7 linked regions of the Ovis aries genome follow. Each later gene encodes a partner of the first gene's protein in a complex. Links are inferred from orthologs where the notes say so. Each region holds a gene or a part of one and is shown in the gene's direction. Other genes may lie near its edges.

What was found.
Region 2: EFTUD2 (region 1) and CWC15 share a complex: the UniProt entries of both Homo sapiens proteins name them as parts of the minor spliceosome. The link is inferred for Ovis aries from reciprocal best matches to the Homo sapiens genes EFTUD2 and CWC15.
Region 3: EFTUD2 (region 1) and CWC27 share a complex: the UniProt entries of both Homo sapiens proteins name them as parts of the minor spliceosome. The link is inferred for Ovis aries from reciprocal best matches to the Homo sapiens genes EFTUD2 and CWC27.
Region 4: EFTUD2 (region 1) and SCNM1 share a complex: the UniProt entries of both Homo sapiens proteins name them as parts of the minor spliceosome. The link is inferred for Ovis aries from reciprocal best matches to the Homo sapiens genes EFTUD2 and SCNM1.
Region 5: EFTUD2 (region 1) and SNRNP40 share a complex: the UniProt entries of both Homo sapiens proteins name them as parts of the minor spliceosome. The link is inferred for Ovis aries from reciprocal best matches to the Homo sapiens genes EFTUD2 and SNRNP40.
Region 6: EFTUD2 (region 1) and SRRM2 share a complex: the UniProt entries of both Homo sapiens proteins name them as parts of the minor spliceosome. The link is inferred for Ovis aries from reciprocal best matches to the Homo sapiens genes EFTUD2 and SRRM2.
Region 7: EFTUD2 (region 1) and SNRPD2 share a complex: the UniProt entries of both Homo sapiens proteins name them as parts of the minor spliceosome. The link is inferred for Ovis aries from reciprocal best matches to the Homo sapiens genes EFTUD2 and SNRPD2.

What each region holds. Positions count from the first base shown.
Region 1 is NC_056064.1:44,303,292-44,306,466, reverse strand, and holds the end of EFTUD2 (116 kDa U5 small nuclear ribonucleoprotein component), read left to right. Parts: intron 1-3; coding exon 4-91; intron 92-711; coding exon 712-830; intron 831-925; coding exon 926-1,020; intron 1,021-1,465; coding exon 1,466-1,619; intron 1,620-1,768; coding exon 1,769-1,981; 3' UTR 1,982-2,205; coding exon of another isoform or gene 2,206-2,301; 3' UTR 2,302-2,675; downstream 2,676-3,175. Other genes in the region: HIGD1B (HIG1 domain family member 1B), read right to left, coding at 3,119-3,175. UniProt on the Homo sapiens protein: Required for pre-mRNA splicing as component of the spliceosome, including pre-catalytic, catalytic and post-catalytic spliceosomal complexes. Component of the U5 snRNP and the U4/U6-U5 tri-snRNP complex, a building block of the spliceosome.
Region 2 is NC_056068.1:15,092,414-15,096,525, forward strand, and holds the start of CWC15 (spliceosome-associated protein CWC15 homolog), read left to right. Parts: upstream 1-1,312; 5' UTR 1,313-1,462; exon of another isoform or gene 1,463-1,913; intron 1,914-2,682; 5' UTR 2,683-2,705; coding exon 2,706-2,836; intron 2,837-3,475; coding exon 3,476-3,588; intron 3,589-4,112. UniProt on the Homo sapiens protein: Involved in pre-mRNA splicing as component of the spliceosome. Component of the PRP19-CDC5L complex that forms an integral part of the spliceosome and is required for activating pre-mRNA splicing.
Region 3 is NC_056069.1:14,832,922-14,837,049, reverse strand, and holds the start of CWC27 (spliceosome-associated protein CWC27 homolog), read left to right. Parts: upstream 1-1,328; 5' UTR 1,329-1,535; coding exon 1,536-1,577; intron 1,578-4,128. Other genes in the region: protein SREK1IP1, read right to left, coding at 894-906. UniProt on the Homo sapiens protein: As part of the spliceosome, plays a role in pre-mRNA splicing. Probable inactive PPIase with no peptidyl-prolyl cis-trans isomerase activity. As a component of the minor spliceosome, involved in the splicing of U12-type introns in pre-mRNAs.
Region 4 is NC_056054.1:101,063,967-101,067,909, forward strand, and holds SCNM1 (sodium channel modifier 1), read left to right. Parts: upstream 1-1,143; 5' UTR 1,144-1,263; coding exon 1,264-1,365; intron 1,366-1,539; exon of another isoform or gene 1,540-1,576; coding exon 1,577-1,647; intron 1,648-1,886; coding exon 1,887-1,975; intron 1,976-2,073; coding exon 2,074-2,171; intron 2,172-2,285; coding exon 2,286-2,374; intron 2,375-2,775; coding exon 2,776-2,970; intron 2,971-3,603; coding exon 3,604-3,703; 3' UTR 3,704-3,758; downstream 3,759-3,943. Other genes in the region: LYSMD1 (lysM and putative peptidoglycan-binding domain-containing protein 1), read right to left, coding at 183-362. UniProt on the Homo sapiens protein: As a component of the minor spliceosome, involved in the splicing of U12-type introns in pre-mRNAs. Plays a role in the regulation of primary cilia length and Hedgehog signaling.
Region 5 is NC_056055.1:236,093,947-236,098,206, forward strand, and holds the start of SNRNP40 (U5 small nuclear ribonucleoprotein 40 kDa protein), read left to right. Parts: upstream 1-1,460; 5' UTR 1,461-1,490; coding exon 1,491-1,634; intron 1,635-4,260. UniProt on the Homo sapiens protein: Required for pre-mRNA splicing as component of the activated spliceosome. Component of the U5 small nuclear ribonucleoprotein (snRNP) complex and the U4/U6-U5 tri-snRNP complex, building blocks of the spliceosome.
Region 6 is NC_056077.1:2,806,516-2,810,744, reverse strand, and holds the start of SRRM2 (serine/arginine repetitive matrix protein 2), read left to right. Parts: upstream 1-1,429; 5' UTR 1,430-1,636; exon of another isoform or gene 1,637-1,644; intron 1,645-1,991; exon of another isoform or gene 1,992-2,472; intron 2,473-4,229. UniProt on the Homo sapiens protein: Required for pre-mRNA splicing as component of the spliceosome. As a component of the minor spliceosome, involved in the splicing of U12-type introns in pre-mRNAs.
Region 7 is NC_056067.1:53,040,971-53,045,200, reverse strand, and holds the start of SNRPD2 (small nuclear ribonucleoprotein Sm D2), read left to right. Parts: upstream 1-1,430; 5' UTR 1,431-1,492; coding exon 1,493-1,494; intron 1,495-2,847; coding exon 2,848-3,027; intron 3,028-3,997; coding exon 3,998-4,172; 3' UTR 4,173-4,230. Other genes in the region: QPCTL (glutaminyl-peptide cyclotransferase-like protein), read right to left, coding at 467-676. UniProt on the Homo sapiens protein: Plays a role in pre-mRNA splicing as a core component of the spliceosomal U1, U2, U4 and U5 small nuclear ribonucleoproteins (snRNPs), the building blocks of the spliceosome.

The sequences.
Region 1 (3,175 bases):
CAGGTGGACAAGGCTCTTCTCGGCTCAGTGAAGGACAGCATCGTTCAAGGTTTCCAGTGGGGAACCAGGGAAGGGCCTCTCTGTGATGAGTGTAAGTCGACCAGCACCTCTGCCTTCTCTGCCCTGTCCTCTGGGGTCCTTGCGTCTGGGTGTATAGTCCGGGTGGGCTCATCTTTGGGACCTGGCAGGAGACACAACTTGGGGCCCACACGGCTGTCCGGTGTTCTGAGCCAGCTTCCTCTCGTCTCCTTCCCTGTCCTGGTGGTACGGCTTGGTACATCCTAGAAATAGAAGTCATGTCTAGGTGGACATTTGCCTTTCATTCCTGGAATGTGTTTGAGGACGGATATCATCAGGAGGATGGGACTGAAGTGGTTTATAGAGCAGGACTGAATTCAGTGGGGACAAATGTGCAATTCCTAAAATTTACTCTACATCCAAAAATAATCAAATATCTGGAAAAGAAACACAAACTTCTCGAGCTACTTTATGTGGTCTGAGTGTGTCCTGAGACCAACACTGCAAACATCTGCCTACCCTCTGACCTCCATATACGCTGTTAGAATACACACTTGTAGGCTGATTCTGTACCACATCCCTCGTGGATACAAGACAGCTTCAGTGCTGCAAGAGGCTCCTTGCTGCTCGATCCCTGCACCCTTGACTAGCACCAGACCCACTCCCAAGGCCGCTCCCCCTTTTCCTTTTCAGTGATTCGGAATGTCAAGTTTAAGATCCTAGATGCAGTGGTTGCCCAGGAGCCCCTGCACCGGGGCGGGGGCCAGATCATCCCCACAGCCCGGAGAGTCGTCTACTCAGCCTTCCTCATGGTGAGCGAGGGGGGCTATTCTGACGGGGCCCCTCGAGACTGCTGTCCCCCAGCTCTGCCCAAGCTGAGGAGCCCTGTCATCCCGCTCTGCTGCAGGCCACCCCTCGTCTGATGGAGCCCTACTACTTCGTTGAGGTCCAGGCCCCTGCAGATTGTGTCTCTGCTGTCTACACGGTCCTGGCCAGGCGCAGGTAAGCCACCAGGCACCTGAGGAAGGGGGCGGCAAGCCTGAGTTCCAGTGAGAAGGAATTCAGAGGGGCTGGCCTCCCGACAACCTCCACTCCTGAGGCCTAGGTTTACAGAAGGAAGCAGGAAAGGGATGAGGCATCCCCAGCCTCACTACATGTCATAGTTTGAGGTTTCTCCTCGGACCCCTCCTCAGAGAGCTCCTGGGGGATGTCAGTCAGTGGTGGGGGGGTCTGCAGGGCCTTGTCCTATCAATCTTCCACTCTTGCCCACAGGTCGCTGCCCCTTTGACTTCCATGGGGAGCAGTGGGAAGAGCCCCAGCTGTTTCCGCCCTCTGTGGGGCACTTGCGGTTATTCTTTTCTCTGCTGGTCAGCAGTTGGGGGTACATTGCTTCTCTGCTTTTGGCCTCCGCAGGGGTAGGAATTCAGCCTTTATTTTTCTGTCTCAGGGGACACGTGACTCAGGACGCACCCATCCCAGGCTCTCCTCTCTACACCATCAAAGCTTTCATCCCAGCCATCGACTCTTTTGGCTTTGAGACTGATCTGCGAACTCACACGCAGGGCCAGGCCTTCTCCTTGTCTGTCTTCCACCACTGGCAGGTAAGAAGATGGTGCAGGCTGGCCACTGCGGTCTCCCACCTCTGCAAGGCCGTCCCCTCTGACCTGCCCACCTCCAGGGGGATCGCCAGCATCCTAGAGAAGCATCTTGCTTCTCGGCCTAGCAGCTCTGAAACCGCTTTGCCTTTCAGATTGTACCTGGTGACCCTCTGGACAAGAGCATTGTCATCCGCCCCTTGGAGCCACAGCCAGCTCCCCACCTGGCCCGAGAGTTCATGATCAAAACCCGTCGTAGGAAGGTACATGTCCTCAGGCCCACGGCTGTCCCTCCACTCCCAGGTGGTCTTGTCAGGAGCTGGATCGCTCTTTGTTTCTTGCCTTTGGACCCTCCTCCCAAAGACTAAGAGCATTTTACTGCACAGCGTGGGGAGACGTGGTCTTCCCAGGCTTCAGGCATCCAGGCCTGGGGCCACATGCCTGGGAAGGGAGAGCCTTCTCCTGCTCTGTTACGATACCCTAATCGCAGGACTCCCGAAATAGCTCAGCCGGCACATGCCCCCCGCCCCTTCACTCAAGTACAGCGCAATCATGCAAGACTCATTTTTGCATCTGCCCTCACACTCTGCAGGGCCTGAGCGAGGACGTGAGCATCAGCAAGTTCTTCGATGATCCTATGTTGCTGGAGCTCGCCAAGCAGGATGTGGTGCTCAACTACCCGATGTGAGCACCAGGCCTCATGGCAGCTCCCACTCCCTGCGCTGGGCCACACCCTGGACTTGAAGCTGGGCCCTGGTGGGCCTCAGACTCCACGTGGTCAGAGCATGTCTGGGGCTGCTGCGGCCATCCTCAACAAGCCCGGAGCCCCCAAGCCTCCAGCACAGAGGGAGGAGCATTGGGCCTCCTGGTTCCTCCTATGGCCTCAGCCTGGCTCCATTCCCAGAGGAGAGAGAAGAGCTCAGGGTCCAGGAAGGAGAAGCGTCTGGAAGTGTTGAAGCCCAAGGGGCCCTGTCTTCAGGATTTACGTGAAATTTTTTTTTTTTTCTTAGTCGAAATTTGACCTTAGACATGTTATATAAGTGAACAGAACATTCTGACCTCTGCCTTGGTCCATTCCTTTCATCCCCACTGCTCCACCCTCTTCCCTTCAGGCTCGTCCTGGCACTTGGGTCCTAGGTCTCTGTCATCTCCCACGAGGCCTCCCTGTCTGCTCCCAGCTGCAGCCTTCTTCCTGCCTGGTCCCCAGAGAGGAGCGCTTGCCTCTCCACTCAGTGTTCCCATGAGCACTGAGGCCTCTTTACTGCCCCTGCTCCCACTCCTGTGGGCGGCACCTGAGAGGGCTGGGGAGTGGTTGGGTCTCTGGGATCAGAGGTCTCCTCTGCCCCCGAAGATTCTCCTTGCCCTGGAGGTCCTCTGGTCCCCAGAGCCTTCCCTCGCCCTGCTGTCCACTGTGTGAAGGAGAGACTGGTGAGTTGCCTCGAACTCCTTTATTAGGTGCACACCCAGGATTGACGAGGTCCGACCGCCCTGGGCCGGTAGGACTCCTACTTCTCCCTGGTATCCTGCGCGGTTTTCTTGATGTAGTCTCGGTACATCGTGTA
Region 2 (4,112 bases), on another chromosome or scaffold:
TAGGGGACAATTACAATCCAGGTAGAAAATGATGCTGGCTTGGACTAAGGCAGTGGAATGAAATTTGGGGTATATGCTGAAAGTAGAATTGGGAAGACTTGCAAGTAAACTAGATGAGAAAAGTGAAGGGAAAGGGATTTAAGAGGAGCGCTGGGATTCTGGTTTGAGTAACTAGCCTGATGGTAGTAGTGTCCTTTACTGAGATGTGGCAGATTAGGAGAGTAATTAATACCTTTGGTAAGAAAAATCAAGATTAGCAATTTGAATTTTATGAGGGAAGGGACTTTTTCTATGCTTTGTTTCATTTAACGTTCAAGGAGTTCTGGGGGCGTTGGTGGGGAAAGCTTTTTTCTGTTCGATGTTATGAGCTCTTTACATTTGAAACTAAGGTGGGGGGAGTTCAATTTTCATTTGTTTAACAAATATCTACTGAGCATCTACTGTGGCCAAGGATTATGTGATTAGATACCAAGTTGAACTGGAAAGGCAAACAAAATCCATGCTCCCAGAGGGCTTTTGGTGGGGGAAGGAGTTAGGACGATTGGTGATTTTTTAATTTTCCTGTTCGTTACCTTATGAAAACTTTCCCTAACGCATGAGTAGCCATCTTACAATAGTAACTGCATCTAGGGCTCCTGGCAGTTGGGCCACCGTTCTAAACGTTCAATGTCTGTTAGTATATAAATGAATCTCGACAGTGACACCTCCCCTCCCACTAGAACTTAGGCTTTTATAAAAAGTAAATATTTTAACGAACGTTACGAATACAACCTTCGTTGTGAAGACTAATATTTTTGCAGGAATGGTACCTTTATAAAGATCGTGGTTGCCCCCGTACATATTTGTTCTTTCTTCATATCCAATTAAATGCAAATACTACTTTCCGTAGCCCAACTCTCTAGGCTTGTTGGGTCTAGCTCAGGAGTAAGGAAGCAGGAGCCGTTGGATTTAAACAGTTTGGTGTAATCCTTTTCTATGCTCTCTCGCTAGCCGGGGACTTGGTGTCGGCTACTCGGGGCTCTTCGTTTACGCAGTACCGGAATGAAGGAATCTGGGAGGGGGTCGGAAAAGGAAAAGACGGAACACACATTAATTGACTCTCGAAGCTACACAACAACGTTCAGGGTCTACTCTAAAGCACTGATTTCAAATGCCCGCCCCCTGGGCCGTTTAAGCCCCGCCCCGTGCGTCGTCACTTCGACTTCCACCTTGGTCTCCGCTGACTGGTCCTTGCCTCCGCGGGCGCCTGACGAGCTTGGGGTTTGCTTCCGGGTCTTGGGATTTTTTTTTTTTTTTTTTTTGGGCCGCGGGTGCAGAGGTTTCTGGGAGCGGAGAGTCAAGATGGCGTCTGTATGATCTCCGGAGGTAGCGGCGTTGGAGTTCGGCCAAAGTGAGCGGCAAGAGGAAAGCAGACTGTGGGTTGGACCGTAAGGGGCAGTTGGCGGCGGAGGCAGAGAACTCGGTGCGGGCCCTGGAGGCGCCAGACGAGGAAAGCCTAGTGTGGGTGGGGCCGGAAAGGGGTAGTTGGGGGCGGAGGCAGAGAATCCAGTGCTGACTGAGCGGTCCCCACAGGGGCCTGACGGGGAAAGCGGCCTGTGGGCGGGGCCGGAAGGGGCAGCTGGGGGCGGAGTCAGCTAACCGGGTTTAGGCCGCGGAGGCCCAGGAGCTGCAGACCGGAGAGCCATCTGTCGGTGGGGCCGGAAGGGGAAGCTGGGGGCGGAGTCAGAGAGCCCGTAAATGCGGAGGAGGCGGTGGAGCTGCGAACTGGTGGTGGGGCTCCGCGCCTAGCGAGCGTGTCCCTGGTCTCCGATCGGCTCCCGAGAGCGCAGCGCCAAGGCATCTCGGCAGAGGGCCGCCCCTCGCCCCCTGGGATAGGGGTGAAGAGTCAGCGAGTTCCCTGCGACAGCCCGGAGGTGAACTCCCCGCCCCAGGGATGACTGTTTTGGGGGGGAGGCGGCGATGCTCCCCAGAGACCTGAAACCCTGTTTCTGTCTCTCTGGATACATCCCTCTCCCTTTTTTTTTCCCCGGAAAATCTAGAGAAGTATATCATTTCCCCCAGTTTTTCCCTGACACTTGCTTCTCTGACGCTTGAGGATGTTTCAGTAACCACAAACGGGTCCCTAATTTTTGGTTATTACAGTCCTTTGAGGGTGGGCTCTTGTGTTTCCAGCATTTCTTAAATTGTAACTTGGAAAAGATCTAATTTATATTATGTTGGCTGCTACTGGAGGAAATTTGATCAACAAAAGATTGTTGGAGATATTTGCCTATGTAACTGTCATTGAAGCTTAACACACTTTTTTTACTAGAACACTCAGTAACTTTGTCAGTGATTTTTTTTTTAAGATGTCTTTGCTTTTGTAGTTGTTAGCCTGTTCTGCTGTGTGAGGTTTAGATGAAATGGGAGTAAGGAGTCCGGTGGCGTGAGGTTGAGTGGAGATGTTTTAAATTCAGACATGGCTGTACTGTATTTTATAAAGGTTTTGATATGTCACGTCTCCTGATTTAATAACCTTTTGAGGAATATCCCCATTTCACAGATGACAGAAACTTAAACTTGGTGGCTTGCCAGGGGTCACAGATGTTTGAGGGAATGAGCTAGGGAAATTATTTCACAAGGATGGCTATAGATTAATGCTTTTCAAAATGAGAGTTTGTCATATTGAAAATAACTTGACAGTGTTTTTCTTCAAAGCATAAAAGATGACAACAGCAGCTCGGCCAACTTTTGAACCTGCAAGAGGTGGAAGAGGAAAAGGTGAGGGTGATTTGAGCCAACTCTCAAAGCAGTATTCAAGCAGAGACCTACCCTCTCATACAAAGATAAAATATAGGTAATGAAGCCTTTTAGTTTTTGTTTCACAAGCAAGACCAAGTCTGTTAAATGATGTGGTCATGAGGTAGCATGTTGGGGTTACTATCACTCAAGTTATCTGTTTTCATAGGAGTAGAATGTAGTAGTGTTTCAGACACCCAGAATTATGCTCCATGATTTTAAAGTGCTACCAGATATTCCTTAAGCAGAAATTCCAGTTAACCAGGAATTTCTATATGTAGATTGAACAATGACTAATAATACATTCTGTCAGGAGGAGCAAGCACTATCAATACAAATCAGTATGAGATTAAAAGTGTTGCTGTAACAAGCCCTGAGTTAGCATACTAACAAAAAGTATAAGCGTTTTGATCAACCTGCTGCCTTACTATGGGAAAGTATGTTGATTTAGTTTGAGGTTCTTAAAGGTTGTTGATTTAGTTTGAGGTTCTTAAAAGTATGTTGATTTAGTGTGAGGTTTTAGACATCACAGGATGCCTCTTAGTAACTTTTGGATTAGACTGATGATTTTGTTTATCCCCTAGTGGAGTTTTCTGCTTTAGGACTCAGGCTGAAGTTGTGTTTCTTGAATTGTCTTCCATTACTACAGCCGTGTGTTTTTTAGAAGTAACTTTGCCTTGTCTTGTTTCTACTTTAGACAGACCACTCAGGATGCCCCTGAAGAAGTTCGAAACCGTGACTTCAGGAGAGAGTTGGAGGAGAGAGAGAGAGCTGCTGCAAGAGAAAAAAACAGAGATCGGCCAACCCGAGGTACCAATACTACCTTAGACATCTCTCATAACATTATGTTGACAGTAGTTTTTCTTTCATGTGGTAATAGGAATGGATTATTATTTTTGTTTGTTTGCTTTTAAATGTGGGGTGAGAGCTATAGCAGTTTCTTGAAAGATTAGATTGGATTGGATTGATTGGATTAGATTATATTGGATTGGATTAGAGATGATAATGAAGTTGATACCAATTTCATCTTATTATGCCTCTGTTTTAGAAAGAGCTAGGGGATATTTAGCAACTGTTATTTCAATTCAGATTAAGGAGTTTTTGACTATTTACAGCAGCCAGACTTTTTAAGGCCCCATGGTTTCTGTCTATGAAATTCTTCCATTTTTATTTCTAGCATGTGTAAACTGTATCCTAAGTTTCCTGAGGCTACAGTTTCCATAATAAAATCAATACTTTTGTTAACTCATTCGGCAGGTATTTGTCAAGGACTTACTTGCCTGCCACTGTTGTTATAGTCCCTACTGTCATGTTTAAGACCTAAGCTCTTGGTG
Region 3 (4,128 bases), on another chromosome or scaffold:
GGGGTCACAAAGAGTCGAACACGACTGAACTGACAACAGTGCCCTGTGTGATCCTCCCAAAACTGCATTTGGTAGAACAGCACAACCTTCCCATGCATAACAGCTATGTGCAAAGCACAGTTCAGCAAAGGCTGCCACAGAACAAACGTGGTCAAATAATACTGGGGAGGGCAGGTTAAAACAAAGTTAGGGCTTCTGAACCACTGCACTTCTCAGCGTCTTTTCTAAGTACCGTGAATCTCCAAGTTGCATGGAGATCTCCAAGTTTGAGTGGGTGGAGGGGTGGTGGTGGTGTATATTTCTCAAAACAGCTCCTGCAAGGAGAACTGGAAGGAACCACAGGTATAAATCAACACATCTTTTTTTTTTTTTAACAGTTGCAGAAACAGGCCCAGGAGGGCAAAAAGAAGGGTTCAGGACCACACAGCTACTACATGTAAGAGGAAGAGAGAGAAGCGGAACCGCAGAGGCTCATTTCAGCCCTGACACTTCCAGTGCAAACAACGCCTTCGGCTACTTGGGTCCGCCAAGTGTTGCCACCTCAAATTTTATTTTCAAACCATACTAAAGTTGAGGTTAGTTTTTCTGGGCCAACTGCCTCCTAGGCCTACAGACAGGAGTCTGTCTCAAACACCCCTCCCCCACTCCGCCCTATATACACTTTCCCTGTAAGTCCGTTTTTGGCAGTGGGAGCTGGGCTGCTGCGGGGGAGATCGTTTCTTTCTTCTTTTCTTTCCTTTAGAGTTTATTTTTGGACTGTAAAATTTTTCTTGTAAACCAAACGAACCTGATCATTTTAACCTTCCACCCTTGGGCGGTACTCCTTACCCAGCGCACACTAACCTACCCTACCTACTCCCTCCCTCGCCCAAACCCCTGCGGTTGGTCTTTACCTGGAATTGCCATGGCGTTGGTAAGAGGGGTCGCAGAACCCCTAGGCTTTGGAGGGTTCTCTCGCTTCCCGCTGGTCGCGAGGACAACACCCAGCGAGGGGGCCGTGTTTCTCCCACCCGCGCCGCGCCACCCGGGTGACAGCAGGGGAAGGCCCTAAAAGCGCCTGGAGATTGCGGAACCAAGTGGCTGCTGATGCAGTTTCCGGGGGAATCGTATTGTACGCCACACACGGCGCGAACCATTACTGCCAGCTTCGAGGAGGTGAATGAGACCTGTACACGCGTGTAGTGAAGTAAACAACACCAAAACTTACGAACTGTTGTTTAAAAAATTGGAATACAAGTTAAATTCATCTATAGGAGTTTAATAGTCTCTTCTCAATTCCCTGGACGCCATTGGAATCCCCCTTTTCAGGATTAGCGGTGCTCGGGTCCAGGAGCAACATGGCGGCGTCCGTGAGGACCTAGGCTTGGGAAGAGCTAGTGTTTGGTGTGGTGCTACTGTCTTGCGGGATATTGACAGGCTGGAGCTTTCCGCGACTTGCCAATTTAAGGAAGCGTGTACCGATAGGTGGGCAGCTCTAGTTACCGGCGGTTTGCTCTCATCCCCATTTAGGAGCGGAGTTCTGAGCACTGACCGGAATGAGCAACATTTATATCCAGGAGCCTCCCACGAACGGGAAGGTGAGTCTCACCTAGGGTACCTGGGCTCCCCAAAGCGATATCTCATTGAATAAAGGAATTCTGGGGTTGTAGGGTTGGAAGGGATTACAAAAACTTTACCTCTGTCTCTGAGCAGGATTGCACTGAAAGCCACATGCTGGCACTTCTCAGCACATAATTGAAAAAGTCCTCAAGTGGAGATTTCTCCATCAACCAACCTCCTGGCCCTACTGTTCCTTGTTTTGCTTCAACCTAACTCTGCATGCGTTTTCTAGGGTCGTAGGTAAAAAGCCAGGTATGTTTTAAAAATTGACATTCTTTTGCTAAACTTGGAGATCGCGATTTCTCCATTTTTTCCACAATTCTATATTGACTGAATGCCTACTAGGCACCAGGTGCGGAGAATACGAAGATGGATGGATAAAACCTGTTGCTGCCCTGGAAGAGCTAATGGTTTTAGTTTTAGAGACAGGCAGGTAAACAAAAACCTAATAGTATGTTTGCGAGGTGTTCTAATGGACAGAGGAGCATCTGCTATGGTATTACTGAGAAGTTAGCAACTGGGAAAGTAGAGAAAGTCTTCGTGGACAAAGTATCTTTTGACCTGGGCTTTGTCAGCGAAACTGGGGAGTGGAAAGAAAAGCCAGCATTGTACCTATTATCACAGCTTAAGTTGAGTGAAATATACATGAAATAGTCATGCAAATTAGTGTATGCAAACTGTGTTAAACATTGTCCTTCTGAACAGAATTGGACTGAGAAAGAATATCAGGCATAGCCCAAGTTTTCCTTCAAAACCAGTTTGGAACTTTTTATAGCATAAAACCAGTTGAAGAATTGAAGCTTCAAAATTCTGTACCGTAGACAGCTTGGCAAGAATTTTGGCGTGGAGAACTCAGAGCAGTGCTATGTGACAACCTAGAGGGATGGGATGGGGTGGAAGGTGGGAGGTTCAAGAGGGAGGGCACACCTGTATATCTATGATTGATTCATGTTGACGTATGGCAGACACAATGTAAGCCAACACAATATTGTAAGGCAGTTATCCTTCAATTAAAAATAAAAAGAAAATAATTTTGGCCTGGAAAGAATTTAAAGCAGATGTAGTAAGTTTGCTTAATGAATGTTTGTTTAGTCATCTGTACTAAAAGGATTCAAAGATATTCCAAATAAATGGGACAAAATTTCTCTCTTTAAAGGGTAGTATCAACTTAGAAAGTACCCCTTGAAGAAATTTCCTGATCTACTGAAGATGAAATTTCCATGTATAATGATGATTTAATCTACATTTTATATTAACCCATATGTTTTAATCTTAAGAAACATTATCACAGTATTGTCTTACTTGTAAGCATTAAGAAAAAGAGCCACTGATACATGACAGAGTAGTTGTGGCCAAATGGAATGCATAGCCAGAGGAGGAGCAATGTACCTTCTTTTTTAATTCAGTAGCTTACCAATGAAAAGATTAAGAAAACCTGGTTAGAACCGTGACCCAACCATAATGTGGTTTTACCATATAAACTTACAAGTTTCCTGTTGTCAAAAATTTTTATAAAAATAATAATTACAACAATTATAGCTACCATATTTTGAGCATTTACTCTATCAGGTACTGTTCTGAGCAGTCTGTGTATAATAACTCATTTTGTCCTTACAGCGAACCTATGAAGATATTACTATCCCTATTTTTATTTTTTATTGAAGTATGGTATATGTGATATACATTATTAGCTTCATGTGTGCAACATGATTTAACATTTGAAACATTACAAAATGGTCACCACAATAAGTCTAGTTACCACTTGTCAGCATACGAAGTTAATGCTATTTTATCGACTGTATTCTCTATGCTGTACTTTTCATCCCCATGACTTACTTATTATGCAACTGAATGTTGGTACCTCTTGATTCCCTTCACCTATTCTACCCCTCACCTCCCACCCATTTTCACTGTTTCTCACCTCTGGCAACCACCAGACTATTTTCTGTATCTAAGTCTGGGTTTTATTTGTTTCTGTTTCAGAGTCCACATGTAAATGGAATCATGTGGTATTTATCTTTCTATGTCAGACTGAGTTCATTTAGCATAATACTCGTAAAGCTCCATCCATGTTGTGGCACAGGGCAATATTACTTTCTTTTTTATGGCTGAGTAGTATTCTGGTGTGTCTTCTTTATACTCATCCATCAGTGGACACTTAAGTTGTTTTCTTATGTTCAATTCAGTCACTCAGTCGTGTCCGACTCTTTGCGACCCCATGGATTGCAGCATGCCAGGTTTCCCTGTCTATCACCAACGCTGGGAACTTGCTCAAACTCATGTCCATCGAGTTGGTGATGCCATCCAACCATCTCATCCTCTGTTATCCCCTTCTCCTCCCTCTTTCAGTCTTTCCCAGCATCAGGGTCTTTTCCATTGAGTCAGTTCTTCACATCAGGTGGGCAAAGTATTGGAGCTTCAACTTCAGCATCAGTCCTTCAAATGAATATTCAGGACTGATTTCCTTTAGGACTGACTGCTTTGATCTCCTTGCAGTCCAAGGGACTCTGAACAGTCTTCTCCAACACC
Region 4 (3,943 bases), on another chromosome or scaffold:
CTGAGATGAGGAAACAAAAAGATAAAGGTGACCAAACCTTTATCACAGTCAATTTATCACAATTAGTTAATATAAACACAATTAAGAAAATTTCAGGGGAAGTTGCCTAGAGGGCCATACATTCTCATGAGGAATAAACCTCTTCTAATTGGGTGTCTACGTCCCAATCCTGGAAGACTCACCGTCACCCCGTATTTGAGTGCTAGTCCAGCCAGGGTGTCTCCGGGCGCCAACTGATGCTCCAGGCGTCTTTCCCTCACCGGGGAGCAGGCAGACTGCACCAGGCTTCCATAAGAACGAGCCCGGCTCCCTTGAAGCAGTCCTGACCCCCCGAGGGGGGCCTGTCTAGAGGGAGAAGCCATCTCCTCACCCTGCGGACACTGAGGTTACAACCCCGGGAGGCCCGGCCAAGTGACCGATAATGACGGGCTCGCGGTCCGAGAATGGGTATCTTAGAGGATTCCTCTCTTTCAGTCTTCTCTCTTAAGTCTCCCCGCCTCCCCCGGCGATACGCGACTTGTCAGCCGTAGCTTCTCCTCCCTGCAAGTCCCCTTCCCACAAATCTGTACTCCGACTATTCAGTCCCTACCTGAGTCTTTCCTTAGCACCCCTCCGACTTTCGACTCCCCACAACAACTCGCTACGTTGACCCCTGACCTTTGAACTCTAGCAGCCTCCTTAACACGCAGCTCAATTTGCCCCTACGTCTGGCAGCCCGACCTCCAGGCTCCCCAATACCCCGACTCCGCCCGGTCCCGGGGTTAGCCCTCTAGGGTCAGGAACAGATCAGGCCCACCCTATATGGGCTGTGGTTGCAGGCGAAGGGCGTGACAATAGCCAGAGTCTGTAGCACTCTTTCTCCGTCAGAGATCCTCAAAGGTATTCTCCAAACCAAATCAGTCACACCCTCAAATTCGGGCTCCTCATCTAGGTTCTTGTCATTCCAAACGCCTCGAATCTGCCAAGACGAAAGGGCCTGGATCCAGCCCGGCGGCAAGCTCTTTGAAAAAAGACTTCATTTCCCAAAAGGCCCCGCGCCGGTGAGGTCGCAGGGCACCATAAGAAATACAGTCCCCCTCGGCCGGCTAGAAGCTGGCTTCCGGGATCGCGCAGTGCATTCGTGGAAGCACACCCCCGGAAGTCAGGGGGCCAGCAGGAAAGAGACCGGAAGGAACGGAGACGACCCACTCCTGCTACGGTGGCCTGAAAGGCGTGGCGAAGGCGGCTGGATAGAGTTTTTGATTTCTGGGGCTCACAGTCTTGATGTCTTTCAAGAGGGAAGGAGACGATTGGAGTCAGCTCAATGTGCTCAAAGTATGCGGAGAGGAGTGCTTCCGAAGCAGCTTCACCTGCCCTCTGAAAGCTGTAAAGGAGCTGTTTTGTTGCTGTGGCAACAACTGGGGGGCGGAGTGGAGGGAACCAAAAGACTAGAGGTGGTGGTGACCCCTTTTTCACCGCAGATGTGTGTTCTCCCATGGTCTTTATTCCCTTTCAGTCCTCGTCTCTATCATTTCCCTTTTATCCTTCCCTCATATCCAGCTGATCCCGTGCGGACTTCTTCCCCTGTCTCCTGCAGAAACGAAGGGTCGGGGACCTGCTTGCCAGCTACATCCCAGAGGATGAGGCGCTGATGCTACGGGATGGACGGTGAGAGCGAGGAGTGGATCAAGTTTAAGGGTTTTGAAGTTAGAGACTCAAGAACTTTTGTTATTAAGGAGGAGAGCGGGAGTATCTAGGATTCTTTGGCTGGGAGTGAGTAACAGGGATGTGGGTGATGGAGACTGGGAGACTTGGGAGTTGGGCTTTGGAAATGAATGCTTGGACGGGGTGGGACCTATGACCAAGACTCCACTCCCCAGGGACCAATTATCTTTCTTACTCCCCAGCTTTGCTTGTGCCATCTGTCCCCACCGACCCGTCCTGGACACTCTGGCCATGCTGACTGCCCACCGTGCAGGCAAAAAACATCTGTCCAGTAAGTTTGGGAAAAGACAGACAATAGAGTAAACCCTTAAAATCTCTTCAGACCACCCTTGGTGCTCTGCTTTTAATCCTCTTCCCCTTTCTCCTCAGGCCTGCAGCTTTTCTATGGCAAGAAGCCAGCAGGAAAGGGCACAGAGCAGAATCCAAGACAGCATAATGAACTCAGGAGAGAAGAGACCACAGCAGAGGTAATCAGAGAGGGGAAGTTGTGTTCCAGGCAGGACTGTGCTGCACACCTTAGGCTAAAGGACTTTGGCTTATTTCTGGCTCTGAAGGCTCTGACTCTGCTGTCTCCATGCCAGGCTCCTCTCTTAACCCAGACTCGACTTATCACTCAGAGTGCTCTGCACAGAGCTCCTCACTATAACAGTTGCTGCCGCCGGAAGTACAGGTTAGTGGGATGGGAAAGCCAGAGGTAGGGAGGGACAAGAGATAGATAGCTCTAAAGTGATTATTTTCCTAATTGTAATCTGAGACATACTAAGTGTTCTGGGGGTGTTAACTTGTATTTCAGGAAAAAGATTTTTGTAACTAAAAAAGTGCTTTGTAATCCTATTTGATTAAAAATTAGTGTATTTTAAGGGTTCTACAAAATCATAAGATAAAAAAAAAACCTTAAAAGATTTAGACTTTCCTAAATTTACTGGATTCCAGAATTCTTTTTATGCAGAACACTTACTAATATCTTGAGGAACACAAAATTGGGAAGCACTCCTATAAGGAGTTGGGAGTCACAGGAGATTAGGCCCTTTCCTTTACTGCTTTTACAGACTTCGATTCTTCTCTGTCCAGACCGGAAGCCCCTCGTCCCTCTGTCTCTCGTCCCCCTTTGCCACCCGCAGAGGCTGAACCCCAAGGTGGGAAGATCAGTAGAGAACCTGAGCCTGAGGCTGGCTCACAGACCAAGGAGTCAGCCACTGTCTCATCCCCCGCACCTATGAGCCCCACAAGAAGACGGGCCCTGGATCATTACCTCACCCTTCGAAGGTGAGTATGCAGAATTTTTCCTCAGTTTTTCCCTTTTATCTCTGACCCTCCTTGTTTCAGAGCTTCTCAAGTGTTTTTACTTATCCCCCGGGGCTTCCCAGGTGGCACAGTGGTAAAGAAGACATCTGCCAATGCAGGAGATGCAGGTTCGATTTCTGGATCAGGAAGATCCCCTGGAGGAGGGCATGGCAACCCACTCCAGTATTCTTACCTGGAGAATCCTGGCGGGCTACATTCCATAGGGTCACAGAGTCAGTTCCTCTTGAAGCAACTTAGCACACGTGCATGCATGCACAAAGACTCCTTACATATGTAACTTTTTTTTCAAATAGTTCAGGAAATTAACTACAGTTAGATAGAAAGAACTATTGGGGCTTCCCAGGAGGCTCAGCAGTAAAGAATCCTATAGTGCACAAGAGGCAGGTTCGACCCGAGTTGGGAAGATTCCCAACTGGAGAAGGAAATGGCAACCCATTCCAGTATTCTTGCCTGGGAAATCCCATGGACAGAGGAGCCTGGCAGGCTACAGTCCATGGGGTCACAGAGTTGGACATGACAGAGCACTCGCACACATGCTTTTCTTAATTTAATAAACTTCCTTTCCTGACCAGTTCTATTTTCTGGTGTTTCCAGCTCTGGATGGATCCCAGATGGACGAGGTCGATGGGTAAAAGATGAAAATGTTGAGTTTGACTCTGATGAGGAGGAACCCCCTGATCTCCCCTTGGACTGACATCCTCGTTCCCCATTCATTTCACAAATAAACTACAGCCGGCGCTGGGAGCCCAGCTTCTCCTGAGTCTGGTTCCTTGTTTCAGGATTTCAGATCTGTTCATTCTCAGCCCAGCCAATTCTTCTCTGCAAGGTACACAGCTCCCCACACTTCTGACCCCTCCCCCACCTTCTCCCACAGTCATGCCAAGCGTCAGCTGCATGCAGCCTGGTGCCCTATTAATAAGTCTGTCAGAAGGAG
Region 5 (4,260 bases), on another chromosome or scaffold:
ACACACACACACACACACACACACACACACACACACACACACACACACACACACACACACACACACACACACAGAACCCTGTGATTGCCCATTAATCTTAAAGTAAAAGCTACAAAGTCTGGCCTCTACCCGCCTCCAGCTTCATCTTGTACCACACTCCCCTTCATTTTCTGTCCTGGCCACAATGGCCTCTTTGTGCCTTTTACTCATTTTCCTCGCATTTGCCACAGGACTTCTGCACATGCTGTTCTAGATGGAACATTCTGCCTTCCTTGCTTCACCCAACTAATTATAATTCTTCCCTGAGGCTATCAGTTCAGGCATATTTTCCTTACAGAAGCCGTCCTGTTTATTCAGGCACTCATTAACACCAGGTACCTCTCCTAGGTAGCACACACTTCCATACTTCCCATTTCCTAGTGAGATCTGGTGAGCATCTATTTCCCCCCAACCCCAGACTTAAAGCTCTGAAGTCAGGGACCATGTTTGGTTCACAATGTCTGCCCAGTGCTCTGTATTATAAATATTAGTTGGACGACTGAGAAGAAGGCCTAGTTCACAGGTCTGAGTTCGAATTTCTCAACAAAACTGTACTCCGGAGGCCAAGAGTCGGACATTACCTTCATCTCTATCTTTCTGAGGAGGCGCTAGTAAAGGCTGCGGAATCATGGCAGTGACAAGTCCGCCTCTTCAGTCAGAGAGGACCCTGATGGAGGCTAGGAGATGGGCCTTTTCTCCCTGGGATCGCCTGGGCTAGGGCTCTGCACGGAAAACACTGTTGAAGAAGTCAGCCATCGAGGGCCCCAGGCTGAGCAGAGGCTCCCAAAACTCTGCTCCAGGCTAGAAAGGGAACCCAGGCTAGGTGCTAAGTCGCTTCAGTCGTGTCCGACTCTGCGACGCCATGGACTGTAGCCAGCCAGACTCCTCTGTCCGTGGGATTCTCCAGGCAAAAACACTGGAGTGGGTTGCCATGCACTTCCCCAGAGGATCTTCCCCACCCAGGGATCGAACCCGCGTTTCTTAGGCTTGGAACCCAGGCTACTACACACCAGAGCTAGGAACTCGGGGCCCCCTTTGCCCCTTGCAATCAAACCTGCATCTGAGAAGAGCCAGCCTCAGACCACTCCAGATCCCACAGCCACCCGCCCCTCGACCTTCCTTACACTTACTTGTTGTCTGCTTCTGGTCTTTCCCTCGCAGCATTGCGCGAAACACCAAAACCCAGTCAGTGAGCTTCCACCCACAAGACACAGCGCGCCTAGGCGGGACTCCAGCTCTATCCACCAATCCTGAATTCGTACTCTAGTGATGTCAGAAAGAACTGGCCAATAACAGGAAAGTTCTCAGGGGGCGGTGCTGAGAGGTATATTGGAAGTCGATTGGGTTCTATCGGCCGGAAGTTCTACGGGAAAGACTAAGTCCGAGCCAATCGTGAGGTACCTGAGGGGGTCGGCGCGGTCAGTGGCGGCCTGAGGATAGCGGCTGCCGCCATGATAGAACAGCAGAAGCGTAAGGGCCCAGAGTTGCCACTGGTCCCAGTGAAGCGGCAGCGACATGAATTACTGTTGGGAGCGGCAGGGTCGGGCCCTGGAGCCGGGCAGCAGCAGGCGGCGCCGGGAGCTTTGCTGCAAGCGGTGAGTATAAGGAGCAGGCGGCCTTCGGCCCTCAGCTCATCTTCCTCTCTCCTCAGCACCTGGTGATCCTGCGCGGCCCTTAACCCACACTCCCGGCCGGAGCGGGACTCTCTCTCCTAGGAGTTAAAGCAGAAAAACACGGTAAAAGCGGCGTACACCCGGCGATTCTCCCTGCGTTTCTCCATTTGACGCGCGTTTTCAGCGTCTTGACCGCCCTGTGAGGAGGTGTTAGAATTAAGAATTGAGGATCTTGAGCTAAAAACCGAGACCAGGGTTTTGACTTCTTAAATGTTCCAGGGATCCAGTATAGAATAAACGATAAATTTCAGAAAACTTGGAAGATTGGATGGATGAATGAATGAATGAATGAGGGAAGGGGGGAAATGAATGCCGCTGGCTCGTTTTGGGGACTTGGGAAACTTGCTTTTCCCGTTGTTTCTCTGCACTGGTATTAGTAATAACCAAAGAATAGTTACCATCCGTTGAGCCCTTGTGCTGTGTAAATGAAAACTGCATTAATCTCGGTAACTTCCCAAGAGTTAGGAAATATTATTATCCTAATTTGTAGACGGGAAAACAAAGTTATATAGTAAGTGATAGGACTTCCCTCATAGCTCAGCTGGTAAAGAGTCTCCCTGCAATGCAGGAGACCTGGGTTTGATTCCTGGGTCAGAAGATCCGTGGAGAAGGAAATGGCAACCCACTCCAGTATTCTTGCCTGGAGAAACCCATGGACAGAGGAGGCTGGTAGGCTATAGTCAGTGAGGTCGCAAGAGTCAGACATGACTTAGTGACTAAACCACCAGGAACAGCTTTTAAACTCAGAATCCATGCTCTTAACTACATTTCCTGTAAAACTGAGGTAGTGATCACACCTCTGCTTCTATCCTGTTAGGCTCAGCTGACAAAATATATGTCTTCCCGCCCCCCACAACTCCTCAACCAGCTGGTTAGCAAATGTTGACACCACCCTCAAACTATATCCAGACTCACTACCGCTTCTTCCACCTTCCAGCTTCTTTGGTGGCTCAGACAGTAAAGAGTCTGTCTGCAATGGGGGAGACCCAGGTTCAGTCCCTGGGTTGGGAAGATACCCTCGAGAAGGAAATGGCAACCCACTCCTTTTTTCTTGCCTGGGAAATCTCATGGACAGTGGAGCCTGGCGGGCTACAGTTGATGGGGGTCACAAAGAGTTGGACATGACTGAGTGAGTGACTAACACTTTCTACCACTTCCATCACTAGCTCCTGGTTTAAGCCATTAGGGCTTCCCTGTTGGCTCAGAGGTTAAAGCATCTGCCTGCCATGTGGGAGACTTGGGTTTGATCCCTGGGTCGGGAAGATCCCCTAGAGAAGGAAATGGTAACCCACTCCAGTATTCTTGCCTGGAGAATCCCATGGACAGAGAAGCCTGGTAGGCTATAGTCCAGGGGGTCGCAGAGTCGGACACGACTGAGTGACTTCACTTTTCCTTTTTTTTTTTGCGATTTCACTTTCACTTCACTTGTCTCATCTGGCACTATGGCTGTAGGATCCTACTGGAATTCCTGTTTCTGTTTATGGATGCTCAGTCTATTCCCAAACCAGTAGCCAGAGGAATCCTTCTAAACATAAGATCATATTACCCCCCGCTGAAAACTTGCCATGGTTTTTCACGTCAGTCAGAGTAAAACTGAAATCTTGGCAATCTTTTGCCCTCTTTCACTTGATCTCTCTGATCTACCAATTTTCCATTGCTCACCTTTCTCCAGTCACAGTGGCTTCCACGCTCCTGCTACAAAGTCTTTGCATTTGCTGTGCTCTCTACTGAAATACTCTTCTTCCAAGTGTCCACATGGTTTATACACTCAGCTCTTCCCAATCTCTGCTCAGATAACACTTTTCCACTTTCCTGACCAGCCCATTTTAAATTGCCATACCTTGTGCTCATCTACATTGCTGCTCTGTTTTTCTCCATAACACATGCCACCGTCTATATGTTTTACTTGTTTCTGCTCACCCTCCCTCTTTTCTGTCCTTCCCACTAGAACACAAGCTTCATTTTTTATTTTGTTCAGTACTGTTTCCTAAGTGCCTGGGACGGTACCTGACGCAGTATTTCCTGAGTAAATGAGTAAGCTGGAAACTAAGGAGATTTGCAGATTGTTAATAGTGTGCTTCTGTCTGGCAAGAATATCAGCCTGGGTTTCTTTGAATTGCCGCGACTGCAACTGGTCTTAATGTCCAAGACCATTATCAAAACTACTTTCTTCAATAACCTGTACCCTGCAGGGTTGTTGGAAGCATTCGTTCAATCATTCATTCATTAAACGAACTAGAGACTGGGAAACAGTGTCATGTTACACTGGTAAGGTTCCTGCACTACAGAGCCTTTCTCGTGGCAGAGCAGGGGAGACAAACTAAACAAATACATAAGAAACGTAATTTCAGATAGTGATAAGTTCTTTGAGGGAAAAAAGTAGTGTTGATCAAATGCAAAAGAGAGGTAGGGTGCTGCTTGGGCTTGAGTGTTCCAGGAACAACTTTCTGGAGAGAAAGCACTGGAAAGGAACCACACACAGAAAGATCTCGGGGAAGAGGCCTCCAGTCGGGGACAACAAAAGATCCTGAGGCAGAAGTAAGTTTAA
Region 6 (4,229 bases), on another chromosome or scaffold:
AAATTTGACTTGTCTGCATCTTGAACCCATTTAATTCTAATCAGTGTTTATCTTGGGTCCTCAGGATATTATATCATTTTTTGATTGTGTCCCACCTCCTACCCTCCTATCTCTTGGGAAGAATATCATCGAGAATTTGGTTACAGGAAAGGGTCTTACTGAAGGTAATGGGTTTTAAGAAACTATCACCCTTCACCCTCACCTGAGAAATATCAGCTTAAGCCCAGAAAGGACAGGCTTTTCCACTTTGCCATAAATCACTCCAAAGGTGCATCCAACTCCAGGAAGCACTTGCCAGGAGTTCAAGAAGGTAAGATTACATCAGCCCTGGCACCTTTAAGCCAAAGCTACAGCTCCTACACCAAGCAGTAGGTTGCCCCGCTCCAGCATATGAGGTGAGTTATCTTTCCACGATTACAAAGAAAACCTAGTAACATCAGATACAAAGTCAAAGGGGCCACAGTTCATTAAGTGGCTGCTGGTATAAGCTGCCCCCACCCCCACCCCAAACAGAGATAACCCAGACGACTGGCCTGCCTCAAAAACTCAGCTTCTCCCAACTCTGCTCCGAGGGAGACTAGCTGGTCCTCAGGCTGAAGCAAAACGGACTTAAAAACATTAACTTAAGACATTCTGCACAGGGCTGACAAGCTTGGGGCGGGGTGGGGGTGGGGGTTGTAATGTTTTTACCCTGCCACGTATGTAACACGCTTCATGTTCTGCAGGAGAAAACTGCACCTCTGTCTGGCCCCTTACTCGCAGTCATAAAAAAAAAAAAAAATCATTCCTCAGGGGCAGCCAGCCCGGTTCAGCGGATGGAAGCTGCGAACACCACGGTCTGCTGGCTCAGCTCTTGGCTCAGGCCCTGGGCCTGTAGCTGGGCTCTGGGATAACCCGGGTGTCCGCCGCCCAGGGTCCGGGGGGCGGGTACTCCTGGGTCCGGAATGATAGGTGCAGCACAGCCCCCGGGCTCACCCCGGGAGGCGTGCGGTCACTTGGAGGAAGCGGTATTATTGGCCTCGGGCCCATTGCCTCCTAACATGAGGAGACAAAATGGCGGCCTCGTGGGGGCGGGGGAGAGCGAAGCTACCTCCGGGTTCCACGCCACACTAGAACTACAACTCCCAGCATGCTCTGGGCCGAAGGCGGGAGCGATCGAGGGCTAGCGACGCTAGGCCCTGTGTCCTCCTGCTCCCCGTCGGAAACCCCCTGGAATGCGTTGCTTCCTCCGGGCCGCTCCCGAGACCCTCCTCGCAACTGCCTGACGGGAATCGTAGTTCATCGACAACAGAGTTGACTCTCCTTCGGGACTCAAGAAACTACACATCCCGTGCTGATTCGGCGCCTGCGCACAAGGCCGCGGAGCGTACTACGGTTCCCGGCGGGCCTTGCGACGCGCGCGGTTGCGTGCTGACGCGTTTAGTTGGTCGTGCTGACGTGCAACGCGGCCCAGGCGGGGTGCGAGTGGCGCAGTCGGAGCCCGCTGCGGCCCCTGAGGAAGCGAGGAGGCGGCGGTGTCGGCTGAGTCGGGCGGACCGGCGAGGCAGGGCCGCTGCTCCAGGCCCCGAAGGACTCAGGAGCTCGATCTGCGGCAGCACCTCTCCCCCTCGGAGGCGGCGGGTGGAGGCGGCGGCGGGTGAGAGGGTGAGGGAGCGAGCGAGCCGGGTGGGGGAGGGGCGGCGGCCCCGGCGCCAGGCCAAAGCGCGCGGAGAACGGCCCAGGCCGCCGCGCGCACGCGCGCTCGCCGCCCCTAGCTCGCGCGGACGTCCCCGCTCGCCTGCCTCCCCTCCCCCTCTCCCGCGGTTCCTGTCGCGCGCGGGCTTTTATTCCCCCTCCCCCATGGCAACGACGCGCGCCGCCGAGTGCACTTGGGCTCGCGCGCGTTCTCGGCGAGGAGTGGGTAGCGCGCGACTCGGGCTTCTCGTCTCCCAGACGCGTGCGGCGACGAGGCCCTGTTGCAGCTGTCCTTGCCGACATCTTGTTTGCGGGGAGGGGGCTGCGGCGGCGGGGGCCGGCTGTCGGCTCCTTTGCCCCGCGCCTCGCCGGCGTCCGGCCTGTCCGTCCCTCCCCGGGGCTTGGGGTCTGGTCCTGAGCCTCCCAGACTACCGGGCGCCGCGCAGCCCCCTCCCCCATCCCTCAAGGCCGAAAATAGGTCTTGGCGGCTCAGCCTGTGCAAAAAAGGTCTTGAACTAGATATCTCCTCGATTTAGGCAGTTTGGATTCGTTACTGTCTGCCATGAAGTATTAAGCGAAGCATTCAAAACGTTTTTTTTGTTTTTAATTAAGTACTCAGTCTAGGTATGTTAAGGCAGACCACGTGCTCTTTTCTTTTCTTGCACCTTTTCATGGTCTCCAAAGTTGTGTTGAAGCTGGGAAGGCGGCTGCCAGCCCTTTCTTGAGGAGAAAGCGCAGGGTTTTATTATAATTTGACTCAAAACTCTTCCAGACCTCGGTTTTCACGCAAACGCTTATGTAAGATATCTTTTGGGTCAAAAATTTTTAAAGTTGTGTTGTGTTTCCTTTTGAGTGTGTTGAATCTAGGCACTCTCTTACTGAGCTAGTACTTCAGCTTTCTGGGTTCCATAGTCCCTCGTCAGCTACTGTGGTGCCCCAGTGCTGAACTTGATGTGCTTACGTATTAGTTTCATTTTCCTGCACTCTCCGCTCCCTTTTTCCTGCGTTTCTTTCCTTGACTGTCGTAATACTGAATTTTAAGACTCCTTTTGTCTTGTTTAACATGTGATAATTCTCCAACAGAAAAATGCTTTTTATCTTCTTTTGCAGCTTGCTTTTCATCTGCCTTTAGCTTTGGTGACTTTTGCATGCCCGTAGTCCGTGGATCCTAGTTTAAGTGTCTCCATTTGGGTTTTGGTGATTTGTGTATATGTATTATCGATACACTCCTCCTGTCTATCTGTCCTTTGTGAGCATTGTCTTGGATGCCATGGTATTTCTGTTTTTTGTTTGTTTTCTTTGCTGGGTCATTTTCTAAAAGTAGTTTGTTGTGATTGAATACCCTTTGCTTAGCAGCTGCTGGTTATCCTTTTCCAGGGAGTGGGAGGATTATTGTGTGAGGTGGTATGGAAGTGTGGGTGAATGGTTAAACTGAAAAATTAATTGCAGGTCAGAAGCTTTCTGCTAGGGAAGCAGAAACTAGGTAGGGTATAGAGAGCCAGAGAAAATCTAGCTTAAGAGCAAGGAGAAATTTTGAGAAAGTAAACGTGAAGGTTGGAAGATTTCTTGTACTATAAAGAAATTTTTCGTTTCACACAGTTCCACTTGCCTTTCCTAGATTTAGCATCATCCTTTACCCCAATATGGTTATTTTTTTGTTTTGTTTTCAGATCTCTAGAGTCTGCAACTGGGATTGGGTAGGGACCCAGCCTTAGAGTTGGGGGGGAAGGGGTACCAAACTGTTCTAGAGTTGAGCTGTCTTCTTTTCATTCAACATCTACCTGTAAAGGGGGAGGTTGGTACATTTTCCCAGGTGTTTATGTTTCTTCCAGAGTATTTTAAATGGAACTTTTCTTTTTATCCAGTTCTGTGTTTTTTTTCTTCTGCCTTCACTAATATCTCAACTTTGTTCCTTGGGTTCTTTTCCTGGGGTCCTTTTCACTCACACATTTCCTTTGTGAAACTATCTTGGACAGGAGGAGTTGGAGGAAAAAAAAAGTACATAGAGCAGGAGAAAGGAATAGTCTGTGTAGTCAAGAAACCTAATCAGAAAAAAACTAGCATTTGAGGGTTTCTTCAGAGTCATGTGGGGCTGGATGAGAAAAACTAGGCAGTAAGGTAATGAAGGGACTGTTAAAGTCAGCAGTTTGACTTTAATGAAGGTGAGGGAGAAAGAGTGGGGTTTTTGTGACTAAGTGTAGGGAAAGGATGTAGAGAAGGTATGGGGAACAGTTGGACTAGAGGAGACTGCTTTGATACATAGAGAGTTTGAGTTGGAAACGCAATCTTTTCGTAGGAGCTAGGGAGACTTGGGTGAGCCACAAACCATGTGAGAAATCCTATTGGGAAGGAAATTGAAGAAATAACATATCAGTCAGGATAGTTGATATGCCTCTTACCTGAGAGATGATGTATATGAGGATTATGTATCCAGGCTTCATGTGTTTCTGTAGTGCGTGCTGGCCTTTTAGGTTAGGCCTCCTTTTGGATATCAAGGGGTTCTCGAGTCAATTTGTAGTCATAATTTCTGGCTACGTTCAGGGTAGCTAGCCTGA
Region 7 (4,230 bases), on another chromosome or scaffold:
CAGGTAGGGAAGAGAAGAGCAGAGCATGAAAACGACCCTCATTCCAACCATATCCTGGAGGCTGCCCTCCTCTTCCTAGCCGCAGCCTCCAGCATCAGAGGTTTCTAGAAGTCCCTCCAAACCCATCCTGCGCAGCCCACGGCAATCCTGATGAGGGAAATCAAGGCCCAGCGAGAGGAAGGGACTCTTCCAAATAGCTGCCTTTAGGATTAGAACCCAGAACTCCAAGTCTTACTACTCCAGACTCTCTTACGGGGTAACCGCTATTACAAAACAAGCCCGAAGCCTCATTGCATTGGAAAGGGGTATGCGCTCTAAGAACGGAGACGGCGGCACCTGCAGCTAGGGCCATAAGGTAAAGACAAAGCCAGGTTAACCCAACCTAGGGTCTTCCCCATGAGACCGTGGGGAAGGGGAGGCAAGGAGTAAGGGCTTCCGCAGTGCCCATGTCCCCGCCCGTCCTCACCCGCAGTTCCCGGCCCAGCGGCAGCTCTTCAGTCTGGCTATGCCAGCTGCTCCAAATGGTATAGAACACCAAGGCTACTGTCAGAGCCAGCAGCAGCTGGGGCAACAGCTGTGCCCGCGGTATCAGGCGCCGCTTGGGCGGTGAGGGTCGCTCCAAAAGGCTGCGTTCCCCGACCGGGAGTCGGGGCCGCCCGCGGCCCCCGGAACGCATGGCAGCTTGGCCCTGAAACCGGTCGGAGACGGCGGATAGAGTTAAGGCCGAGCCAAGTCCCGCCCCATGAAATAAGCCAGACCAATGAACAACAAGAGCGGCTGCACCATCCGCCCCCCCCACGAGCAGTAAAGCAAATGGGACTTTCGGCCTGAGGACGCGGCTCCTTGTCTTCAGGGAGCTTTGGGGGTTGGTTCCCCCGGGTTGCACAACCCAAAAGGGAGAGCGTAAGAAGTAGGCGCCGCCTCAGCGCAGGAGGGGAAGCCAATGAGAAGCGTTTGATCACCGAAAACACTAGCCTTACTGGGCGCAAATCCACGCCGCTCCCGGATGGACCCTCTCCCCGGTCCAGAAAAACCAATATACACGTAAATCAACAGTTTCCGAAGGAAAGGGGAGGTGCCCATCCCTGAAGCGAGGAGGGGATTGGCTTCGCCAAGGCCGCGCCCCCAAAGGCAGAGCGGGCGGGCATTTGGAAATGGCTAGTATTCCCCTCTTTCAACCTATGCGGTTCTGCAACAAAATGGTTTTAATCAGTCCCGCCTTCTTTTCCTCTCCATGGTCGTGAATATCTGCCCAGCACTGTCTTGAATGGTGGCCTGGAGCTACTTACTAAGTAAGGCTTCTACTCGGCAGCCTCCGCCGAGGGCGGAGATCGCTATAGCAACGGGCCACGCCCCACTCGCTGGTTGGGTATGCGCAGGCGCGCGCGGAAGTGGGCCGTAGGAAGAGGAAGTCCCGCCTCTGGCTCTCTGTTCGGGAGGCACACCACGGAGGAGACGGTAGTGGCTTGAAAACGCGGTCACCATCATCATCATGTGAGGCCGGGCTGGGTTTGGGTGGCGGCAGTGGGATTGAGGGTGTAAGTTTGGCCACTTACCGGTTGAAGTGGGTAGGCAGAAGTGGGCGCGGAAGCAAACATTTGGGGGTAAAGTGGCGTATCTTTCTACTGATGAGTTGCGAGGGGACGTGGGGCCTTTGAAGGATCCTGACTTCGGGAGCGGGGACAGCTTTATCAGATAACAGGCTGGGCTTTCCCAAATAAGCAATCTTATTGAAGTGAAGTTTAAGAGGAAGCGTTTTTACGAATTAAAAACCTGGGAGATGAGGAGTACGGACTTGTAGGAAAAGCGGTCTTAAGGTAAGAGGCGTAGCTGGAGACAATTGGCTTTTCGATCACATCCGCCATTGGTATGGATAACGAGTTATGGGGATGATTTTACTTATGTAGTCACTCAACAGTTATTTATTGAGTTGTTTGTGTATTAGGCTGCTTTAGACGCATAGCTTATATCACTGAATTACTCCACTCTCCCCAAGGGAAAAAAAATCCTCTTCTACATCTTACGGGATGGGAAGAGGCAGGCAGGAAACGTGCTGGTAATAAATCCGTAAATTCTAGAATGTGTTAGGGAATAGGGTTTTGAATAAAGAAATAACAGAGCAGGGTAAAACAGCGTGGAATGTCTCTTGTGAGAGACAGAACGCATGAAGGAGGCAACACTTGAGCAAAAACCTGAAGAAAGTGAGAAAGCAAACTGCAAAGGTACCTGGGGACGTACCTAGGCAGAGGGAAAAGTGAATAGAGGGGCCCAAGAAGGTTTGCCTGATAGCTTCAAGAACCACTGAAGAGGCCATTGTGCCTGGAACAGAGTGAGGGTAAAAGCTGGGCTTTACTGTTTACACTGAGAGGGTACTCAAGAGTGAGATGATTCTTGACACCACCCTTGAGACTGCTCTGTGGAGGGCGAACTGTTGGGGAGCGTGGGTGGAGGCAAGGAGACCTAGGAAAGATGATGGAGGTTTAAGCCAAGGTAAGAAATTCAGATTCTGATAGGTTTTAGTGGCAGATGGCAGGATTTGCTGACAGATTGAATGTAGGATGTGAGAGAAGAAAGAGTCAAGTTGCTCAAAGAACCAGAGGGATGGAGTCACCACTGACAGAGATGAGGAAGGCTGTGGATAGTATTAAGTTGGGGTTATGGGGGGTCTGGAGTTCAGTCTAGGTCATGCGAGGATTGGAAATATCCATTAGGCATCCAAGTGGTGATAGCAAGAGAGAGGACTGAGTACGAAGAGAGGGATATGTGTCGGGGAGACACCAAGGGAGAGGCCATGAGCACCCAGGCTATGGGCCTGCTCACCTCTGGGTTCCATACTTGTCTTTTCAGGAGTCTCCTCAACAAGCCCAAGAGTGAGATGACCCCAGAGGAGCTGCAGAAGCGGGAGGAGGAGGAGTTTAACACGGGGCCGCTCTCCGTGCTCACGCAGTCAGTCAAAAACAACACTCAAGTGCTCATCAACTGCCGTAACAACAAGAAGCTCCTGGGCCGCGTGAAGGCCTTCGACAGGTGAGCACCAGGGTCTGGGGAGGTATGCTGTCCGGGCCTCAGTTTCCTTACCTGTGAAATATGCGTCATAATAATATCCCTCAGAACAGTAATGAGGCTTCAGTAATACTATGTATGAAAAGCACTTGGCTCAGTACCTAACACATGATAAATGCTCAGTAAACACATGCAGCCTTTAGTTAGCATTTGGGAAGTGCTTTCCTCACCGTAGATTACTATATAGCAAGATACAGAGCTTTCCCAATTTTTTTCTTTTCTTTCTTTCACTCAGTCATAGTTCCCTGTATCCTCCTATTCCTTTGTGTGTGTGCATGAGGGCTAAGTCACTTTGGTTGTGTCTGAATCTGTGCAGCCCTATGGACTGTGGCCCACCAGGCTTCTCTGTCTATGGGATTCTCCAGACAAGACTACTGGAATGGGTTGCCATGCTCTCCTCCAGGGGATCCTCCCAACCCAGGGATTGAATTTGCATCTCTTATGTCTCCTGCATTAGCAGGCAAGTTCTTTACCGCTAGAGCCACCTGGGAAGCCCCCCATCCCTTTACCTTGCGTTAGTTTTTCTTCATAGCACTTACTACCACCTGACAGTATATTACAGGTGTGTTTGTTTACCTGCTTCGTGTTCTCCCTTCACTAGCCTGCAGAGCCCATGAAGACAGGGCTCTTACCTGGTTTTTTTTTCATTGCTCTAATCATTGTAAACGTTTGTTGACCGAGCTATTCCACACTGTCATCACACATGCCCATAAGAAAAATAGTGTGTTGATTCACTTAATTTTCACAACAGCCATAGGAGGCAGGCACCATGAATGTCTCCATTTTAGAGACGAGGAAACTGAGGCGCAGAAGGTGAAGTCCTTTGCCCGAGCCTCGGAGCCCTGGCTCTCCCCCTTCCCAGAGGCAGTGCCGCCCAGAGGAAGGGTCAGGACACACCCCTCACTCAGTCCTGCTGCCTCCCCGTCCCCACCAGGCACTGCAACATGGTGCTGGAGAATGTGAAGGAAATGTGGACGGAGGTCCCCAAGAGCGGCAAGGGCAAGAAGAAGTCCAAGCCAGTCAACAAGGACCGCTACATCTCCAAGATGTTCCTGCGCGGGGACTCTGTCATCGTGGTCCTGAGGAACCCGCTCATCGCTGGCAAGTAGGGCCTCCTCCCTGCTGTCAGAACTTTCCCCCTGGTTTTGCGAAGACCTGCCCTCTGTA